Arabidopsis thaliana: one gene and its partner. The protein of the gene in region 1 interacts with the protein of each later gene in a pairwise test. Each region holds a gene or a part of one and is shown on either strand. Other genes may lie near its edges.

Evidence for each region.
Region 2: the proteins of CAND1 (region 1) and WRKY60 interact in binary tests that used the Arabidopsis thaliana proteins (3 or more experiments, as listed by UniProt).

The regions. Positions count from the first base shown.
Region 1 is NC_003071.7:687,889-692,870, forward strand, and holds the start of CAND1 (cullin-associated and neddylation dissociated), read left to right. Parts: upstream 1-1,895; 5' UTR 1,896-2,047; intron 2,048-2,423; 5' UTR 2,424-2,456; coding exon 2,457-2,492; intron 2,493-2,574; coding exon 2,575-2,750; intron 2,751-2,850; coding exon 2,851-3,058; intron 3,059-3,347; coding exon 3,348-3,513; intron 3,514-3,791; coding exon 3,792-3,921; intron 3,922-4,106; coding exon 4,107-4,221; intron 4,222-4,433; coding exon 4,434-4,591; intron 4,592-4,678; coding exon 4,679-4,802; intron 4,803-4,964; coding exon 4,965-4,982. Other genes in the region: AT2G02550 (PIN domain-like family protein), read left to right, coding at 709-876. UniProt on the Arabidopsis thaliana protein: Key assembly factor of SCF (SKP1-CUL1-F-box protein) E3 ubiquitin ligase complexes that promotes the exchange of the substrate-recognition F-box subunit in SCF complexes, thereby playing a key role in the cellular repertoire of SCF complexes.
Region 2 is NC_003071.7:10,627,925-10,632,049, reverse strand, and holds WRKY60 (WRKY DNA-binding protein 60), read right to left. Parts: upstream 2,389-4,125; 5' UTR 2,239-2,388; coding exon 2,182-2,238; exon of another isoform or gene 2,088-2,181; coding exon 2,025-2,087; exon of another isoform or gene 1,821-2,024; coding exon 1,512-1,820; intron 1,429-1,511; coding exon 1,312-1,428; intron 1,225-1,311; coding exon 955-1,224; 3' UTR 637-954; downstream 1-636. Other genes in the region: AT2G25010 (Aminotransferase-like, plant mobile domain family protein), read right to left, coding at 1-199, 276-359; AT2G24990 (Serine/threonine-protein kinase Rio1), read right to left, coding at 3,751-4,125. UniProt on the Arabidopsis thaliana protein: Transcription factor. Interacts specifically with the W box (5'-(T)TGAC[CT]-3'), a frequently occurring elicitor-responsive cis-acting element.

The DNA of each region.
Region 1 (4,982 bases):
TTTCTCCCATTGAAGGTTTAAAAAAAAAAAGTATCCGAATATTGAGTTTATCGTTGCTGCTCACAGCTTGTATATTTGGCTAATAATAAAGATAAAAGCGTTTATGCGGTTCTCACTATTAACACTGACCTCATACCATTTAGATGTTGAAGAGTAAGTTCTTTAATACACTTATCAATTATTATTATTTTAAAGGTTTTTCTCATGTAGACATAACATTAATTTTTACTACCACTTTAAACTTTTGTGTGATCACAAATTATTTTCGCCAGTAAAGACTTTGAATTGCTTGAACTCGAAATGATAGACTTATTGAAGCGGTTTCATAGTAGCAAGAAAAATAAAGACAACGAAAAAGAAACTAAAGAAGAAGCAAAATCTTACGATTTTTCAGAATTCACAGACGATAATTTTCTGGAGATGTGCATTCTTTGCGATTGTGACTATTTTAAATGGCCATTAACGGAGGGATCCGAAAGAGCATATGAAATAATTGGTACTAAAACTATACGTGGTAGAGAGGTACTTTTTACTTGGTTTAGTTCAAAATAGTAGTATACTATACATTTAGATTTTGTATTTGCATGTATGATGACATGATGTGTGTTATTCATTTTCTTTCAGGTAATAGAGGAACTACTAGAGGACAGCACTGACCTAACTTCTCATCTGAAAAAATTCATAATTTTGTTGCTTTTCAAATATTAGTATGTCTATAATCAAGTAATTGAAGAGCTTCAACACTTGAATGTGCCTGAGGTGTCTAACCTTCCATTCTTGCGTGACCGTGAGTCTGGCGATGAATTTGTCATTCGAAAGTATGAAGATTCTACGGGCACATATTTGTCAACAACTAAGACTAAGGAAATAGCATAAGGAAGACTTAATCCTGAAACCCACGAAAAATTTACACACGTGGAAGTGGAAGAAACAGATGACGAAGAAACTACTTAGACAAAAGTATCTAATAATTTGAATTTCGAAGTTCTAGTTCAAAATAAAGGAAGTCTAATTTCGACAAAAAATCTCACATCTATACCATATTTTACGGTTTTAGTTTTTTTTAGTCGTTAGCAACAATGACAATCAGTTATATTTTGTTAACTTTATAATCGTTAGCGATGACTATCGACAATGAAATCATGTTTATTTGGTAGTCGTTGGGTCGGGAACATTTAACAAATGATTTTGATTCAATTTTTTTTTTTTCTTATAAACCTTATCGGCTGATCTGGTTAGCCCTAGTAAAAACACACCGAAATGTTTTCGAGTGGACTTCTTCCCGAAAAACCACCATACTGTCTGTCTGTCACGAGTTTGAAATGCTTTCTGACTAATGCCAGGGGGTAGTCAGGCGGCCGCCTACATTTCTAATTACCAAGTAAACCAATTAAACCAAGACCCAACTTATACACTTACCAACTTTCAAGGAGAATCGAACTCGGGTCTAAGAGTTTCATCCTTCCCAAAGCTTCCCCTACCACTAAACCACATATACTTGGCCTAGGTTGAAAACTTTCAGTGATACAATTTTTTACTTGCTAATCGTTCAAAAATATTGACCATAAATTGTCGATGAACCAATGGCTAACACTATTTAGTTGGTTGGTCGCAATCGCATAGCATGTCCCTGACACAAAAAAAGCAAACAAAAAAAGAACTACTTGGATCAAACAAAGAAACCCATGCTTGGGCTCAGACTGAAAACAAAGTAATTGGGCCAAACCCATTTAGTATTAACCGACTAATCAAGTCCAACAATGTACAGCATGAAATAAACGCTACCCATTAACCGACTCAAATCGCACCAAGTCAGGCCCAATTAATCCTACACAGGCCCATTTAGAAGAAAGTTAACTTCCTCCTTAAGAAGAGAGAAGGGCTAAAAATCAAGCTTTCACGAGTACGGAAATTTACAGTATCTCCTCCATCTTTTTTTACTTTCCTCAGAGCTCTCTCCTCTCCGCAACTTCCACCACCACCAAATCGGAACTCTCGGCGTTCTACTCCGTCTCCGGCGTTACCTCCGTCGATTTCATCTTCTCAGGTTACTTAGGGTTACCTCTTTTTTGCTTTTTGATCGATAAAGTGTGATGATGTCTAGCGTTAACTCTTTTCGTCTTCGTAGTCGTAGTCTTAGGGTTTTGGTGGCGACGATACTTTGATTTATCAAACCGAACTTCTTCTTTGTGATCTTCGATGAATCAAAAGTTTTCTAAGGGATATTAATTAGGTTTTGTTACCGGCGATAATTAATCCATCTTCGATGCTTCTTCTTTACACTTCTGACTTTGTTTCTGATGTTTTAACCTCTGTGGAGAGCTTGATAGAGTGACATTGCTCTGACTAAGCGTTTTAGTTCAACGCATGGTTGATTCTCTTTTTACTAAGTAATGAATTTTGAGATCCTTGTTTGATTGCAGTTGGAAGGAGTGAATTGAGAAGGTCGGGCCAATATGGCGAACTTACAAGTTTCTGGGATACTCGAAAAGGTCTTTTCATCATCTGTTTCTAATTAAGCTTAATTTTGTTTTTGAGTATAGTCACCTTTTCTCATTGCTGTATTTACTATAGTTTCAGATGACGGGTAAAGATAAAGATTACAGATACATGGCAACCTCTGATTTGCTTAATGAGTTGAATAAGGATTCCTTTAAAATCGACCTGGACTTGGAGGTGAGATTGTCGAGTATCATATTGCAACAGCTCGATGATGTGGCTGGTGATGTTTCTGGATTGGCTGTTAAATGGTTAGCTTTCTGCTCTTAGCAACTTATGACCTAAGCTGATGTTATACTTTTACATTTAGCTGATCTATCGTCGACCTTTGATGTTATGATTTTGTTCCAGTCTTGCTCCATTGGTGAAGAAGGTTGGAGAAGAACGAATTGTTGAAATGACCAACAAGTTATGTGATAAACTGCTGCATGGGAAAGACCAGCATCGTGATACCGCAAGCATAGCTCTCAGGACTGTTGTCGCTCAAATTGCTCCTACGCTTGCTCCATCTATTCTTGTTACTCTAACACCACAAATGATAGGAGGAATAAGTGGCCAGGTTAGTTGTTGGGAGGTCTATTCCTTATTATTTCGATTGCATATGCGACAGTGCTTAGGGTCGTCCTAGACAATTTCGGATCCCATCAAAATCATATTGATTGACATCTATTGGAAAATTAGTTGATTTTACGTTTTAAGTTTTATTGGATCTAATACAGTTAAAGAACTCTGTCTGAAAAACTCTTAGTAGACCAGAGCACAGTATATGCATATAATTATTTGTCTACTCTAAGGTTCTATCATCTTATTTTACAAGTAACTAATTTTCTGCGTATTTACTGCTGAAGGGAATGAGCTCAGGGATCAAGTGTGAATGTCTTGAGATCATGTGTGATGTTGTTCAAAAATATGGAAGTTTAATGACGGATGATCACGAGAAGCTATTGAATACATTGTTATTGCAATTGGGCTGTAACCAAGCCACAGTCAGGAAGAAGACTGTTACATGCATTGGTAAGTTCATAAAATTGAGTCAATATGATTGCTGGGTACTGTCGGTACTAATGTCAATATTTAGCTAATTTGAAACCAACTTTAATCTGCCGAGACTTGAGTGGTAGCTTTCCTTATCTATATTAGAAATATGGTTTTCAGCTGTTTGCGTCAATTCTTGTGAAACCGATGCTAGTTCAAATGATATATTCAATGTCATTTTTTTCCTAGTCGTATATAGAACTCTTAATTCGATGGTATATAGCCTCTTCTAAGTTCAAAATTTTGTGTGGTGTCAGCTTCTCTTGCTTCCAGTCTGTCTGATGATTTGCTCGCGAAGGCGACTGTTGAAGTTGTGAAAAATCTAAGTAACAGGAATGCAAAATCGGAGATTACACGTACCAATATTCAAATGATTGGAGCTTTATGGTACTTCCTATCTTCCTTCTTATCGGCTTGTTATATATCTTTAACTTCTTACCATACGTTACTGTAGTGTTGTAGTATGCTTCGGTTAGTTGTACTTGTGCTACCTATTTATTGATTGGGATGAATGGTTATCTACGACTAGGCTTGCCATGGTTGTAATGCTATTTAATGCGTTTTTGTTTCAGCCGTGCTGTTGGTTACCGGTTTGGCACTCATCTAGGTAACACTGTGCCAGTATTAATCAATTACTGCACTAGCGCTTCAGAAAATGACGAGGAGCTTCGCGAGTATAGCTTACAGGTATCGTGCAAGATTCCCTAATGTTCCTACTTTCTCACTACGCTTGCATTTTTTGTTTTCTCATCTAATTTTTGTAATCAGACAATTACTTAGGCGTGCTTGTAGTCTCTTTTCTTTCCTATGCTATTAAATTGGAATTCTAATCTTAGGTTCAATAAAATTGGTATGAACAATGTAGACGATAACATGTCTGTTCTGAAATTTGACTGCAGGCACTTGAAAGTTTCTTGCTACGATGTCCCAGGGACATCTCACCATATTGTGATGAAATTTTAAATCTTACTTTAGAATATATTAGTTATGACCCGAATTTTACGGACAATATGGAGGAAGATACTGATAATGAGACTCTTGAAGATGAAGAAGATGAGTAAGTTCTGATTTATTCATTGGAACAGTAGCCTAGCTCCTTACGGTGCACCATTATCTCACTGAAATAAGTCTTTCTTTCTCACAGCGAGAGTGCAAATGAGTACACAGATGATGAAGATGCCAGCTGGAAAGTTAGGAGAGCAGCGGCCAAATGCCTAGCAGGATTAATCGTTTCGCGTTCTGAGATGCTCACTAAAGTATATCAAGAGGTATATCTTTTTTAAATGATCAAGCGTATTATCTTTCATGACGGGAGTGTACAAGATTCCCTTACACAAGAGTTTTTCATTCTTTTACCTGTGTTTGATTAAATATGAAACAAGAATCTACTATAGAATTATTGTTGAGGAGTTTAGTCTCTTCTTGTGCAGGCCTGCCCGAAACTAATT
Region 2 (4,125 bases), 9.9 Mb from region 1:
CTAAAGGAAGATGAAAAGTATTGGTTTCTCTTCTCCATCGCTCAACAAGTGCAGAGATCAGTGAATTGTTTAAACTCATTGGACCGATTTTGCGAAAGTAACCGAAACCAGCTTTGTCCACGAGGTTAATTTGTTCATCAGTGAGTTTCCATTGATGTAGCAATGAAGTGTGTTCTTGACAACGAAGTAGACCTCGTTCCTAAGGTAAGTAAGGGGAAATAAGATTAACCCTAAATTCAAAATCTGAAATTTAGCAAGGGAATTAAGAAAAAAACCTGTCCTTCCCAAACAGCAGAAGAAACATGGAGGTCTTGCTCGTATAGGACAGATGGATCAACTGGTCCGACATCAATATCCATGTCGATAACTTACTCAAAATCAGCGAAAACTAAGATTACATAAACAAATTTTTGTCAAATTCTCAAAACACGAAACTTTTGATTCTTCAATTTGGGACTAAACACAGATGAAGAAGAAGAAGAAGTTGGGATTGGAAGCTAACCGTAACCTAATTTGGACTCGGTTCATAATTTTTCTTCTTGGCTTTTTATAGCTGTACCGGTTATTTTGGTTTGGTTCTCTTAAACCGACTCTGTTTTTCGTGGTTTTACTCTGTTTCCGGGTTTCTCTGTTTCTTTTATGTCTGTAATGGCATCACATTCTTCTCTAATGGAAGTTAATACAAACAACTGAACAAGATAACATTGGAAGATACATAAACTGTCGAAGCAGCGTCAATCTACCATACTTACACCGAGCTATAACAAAACTCTTTCAACATAAGATAAAATGGGGGTGACCCTTTTTGGATACTTAGATTTGATGTAATTATATACACACACATTAAAATTGACATCTATGCCTCCTAATCAAGATCAAACAAATCTTTACCTTTTTACTAGGAATGAGCAACAAAATAGAACAAAACAGAAATATACATGTTCTAGAGAACTTTCATGTTCTTGAATGCTCTATCAATCTCCCGGAAATAGCAGTCGCAAGAGCTGCAGTGAACTTAGGATCTTTGGTCAACGAAGAAGCCATTTGTTGCACCAAAACCTCTTGAATCGTCCCTCTCTCTTTCTTTTCCTCAACTGGTTCAAGCCCACCTTGAACTAGATCAAGTTTCACTGTCCTGGACACACTTGCATGTGGTCCGGTGTGGTTATGTGTCCCTTCGTAAGTGGCTACCAAGAAAGATGGATCTTCTGCACTTCGTTGCACCTAAACAAGCGCACACACAACTAGGGAATTTAATCAGACAGCAAGATGATATCGAAGAACTCTTTAACAAAGTTTAAACCAAAGTACCTTCTTCTTGACTAGACAAGACGGTGAAAACGAGCATCTGAAGTAAGCTCTAGGAGATGGATTATCTCTCGTAATCTTTTGCCCGTATTTCCTCCATTGATATCCATCTTTCACAGTCTACAAGTAACGTATATCCACAAAACATTCGTTAACAAATCAATACACTCAAAGAACGATACTTGTAGTAGAAATCTCCTTACCAAGCTTGTGTCAGACTTCTCAGCAGCAAAGTAAGCGGTTGAAACCGTCGCTTTATCGTTGGTGATGTTCTCGATTGGTCCGAGACTGAGTCCAATTGGGGAGCTAACAAACTCATCAAGTTCTTGTTTTCGTTTCCCCGTTAGCTGTTTGTTCTGAAAGTTAACACTTTCAGGACTCTTTCGACTCTGCAACTCCTCCATAAGATTATTAAGAGCATAGTACTTCTCACAGACTCTTGCTAACATTTCGGTTAGCTTCTTGTTCTCCGAATTAACCCGGTTTATTTCATCTTGTAGCATATTTCTCTTCTGTGTAAAATGAAAATCACCATTACCAAACTAAGCTGTAAGACAAAGCTTTGATTTGTTCAACTTTTGAGCATCACCGATCTAAACAAACTATTCAATGTCTAAATCAGATATGAGAACTTGATCAACCTAATCCATTCACTCATAGTCAAAAATTTTGAGGTCAAAGTATTGCACACCAAAGTGTTCGATGAAAGAACTAACCTCATCTTTCACTAACCATTTCTTCTCTACAACTTTAGAAGCTGAAGCCGAGACTTCTCTTTTCTAAATCAGGCAATAAAATATATATGAACACCACGAATAATCACCACAACCTCGAAAATTGAAGTGAAATTTTCGAAGAAATTGAAAAACTCACCGGAAGTTTACCGGAGAAATGAAGGTCGAACGGATTGGTGTTGGGATCATAGTCCATAAATTTAGGTTCACAGGAGCCAATTTAATGTAACGTGAGATTATAGCGAAGACCAAATTCATAATTGCTAAGAGATTTGGTCTCCTTTGGTTTTATAGTAACTAGTAAGTGGAGAGAGTGTAATAACTTGTCAATTATGAGAAGGTTGACGATTTGGGTGGAAAATGAGGGTCTCCTTTCTAATTCTAAAAAAATTATTATAAATCTTTTACAATTCTTGTAAATTCTCATAAACTTTCTTTAAAACCTTTAAAAGTTTTTAAAACTCTTTGTAAAATCGTTTTAAAACTTTTATTAAATCTTTTAAAAACTTTTGTAAAATTTTTATAAAATCTTTTGTAAATCATTTTAAAAACATTTATAAAATCCTTGTGTGTAATTCTAATTGTGCCAAAATTATAATGTGTATTATGCATATGATAGTGATTGAACATAGAAACAAAAATATTGGAAAAAAACAATACTAATGAAATGTGTAAACAAAAATTGCAAGAAAACTATTTAATTTAATACGTATTGACAAAAAGCAAGTTGTGTTTAATACGTTGGATTAAATTTGTTGGCTTGCATCGTAAATACTAAATGCGTGTCCTAAAAAATTAAAAAGGTTAGGTGTTAAATCGTAGTCGAATTGTTATGTTTTGTTGTAATCGGAGAAAACAAGTGTAAAGATGGATCAAAAATCAACAATTTCGGCGGATGTCCCATGTCGAAGAAAAATGAGTACTTTACATTAAGTTGCATTGTAAGATCCAGACCAACTTTCGCTTGACTTGACCCATTGACTATGCCCTGGAGGTTGGCATGTTTAATTTTGTCTCATATTTTTGTTTACTTAATCCTACCTACATTTAGTTGCATTAGTTAATTATGTCAGCTAGGCAAAATAAGATTTCGTTTCCCTTTTTTTTATGTTCATTAAGTTTGAAAGAAAATCATTATTTTTTGTTTTGTCATCTTTTTTATTAATATTATAAAATAAAAATATATTTTCCGATCTTACAAAACCGGCAGAAAACAAAGATATCTTCGAAAACATAGTTTAAAAGAGATAATCAAAGCTCCAAAAGAAAGAGAAAACACGTATTAAGATATAAACTATGGAAACAGAGGCTTAAGAAGAAAAGCTCATAAACACTAAACTGTATAAAATCAAGAACTCATTAAACAAAGAAAAAATGTTGTAAATAAACTAGTTGCAGGATTAGAATTTTCATACTATAAGCCAACAATCTCAAAACTTGAGTTGATAAATTTAGACACAACCATTATTCGAATTGTCAAGTTGGTTAGGGATGTGAGGAAAGGAACAGAAATTTGAATCCTATTCTTGAAACAGCAGCAAACCAATTTCGGGCTCTATAATAAAGTCATACTATGAATATTACAAGAACTTGCTATTTTTGGAAATATAGAGAGCTTTGGGTCCATACTCGATTTCCCAGAATTTGACACAAAATTTCAAAATATAAATAAAAATACAAGTTGGGGTGTCAAAACTTCTAACTCGGATTAACGAGTCTTGTGTGGTTTAGAGACTTTCTTCTTTCGCTTCTTGACAGATTTGGGTGTCTTCGTCTTCCTAGACTCTCGTTTCTCCTCTTTCACTTTCTTCTTGTGCTCTTTCCTTGCAGCTTTCTTGTCTTCATGACCCAATTCTTCTTCACTCTCTTCTTCCTCACTTCCTTCTTCACTTTCTCCGTCTTCTTCTTCCTCTCCTTCCTCTTCTTTCTCTTCATCATTCACCTCTATTTTCTGCTCTTCTATTTTAGGAAGAGCATCCTTAAGCCCCGTTATCGTTTGGTATAGCATGTCTCCTGTGTCCTGCCCGCTTGTTATCTTAGCCACGTCAGCCTCAGGGTTGTTCACAGCATCCAGAGATTTCGG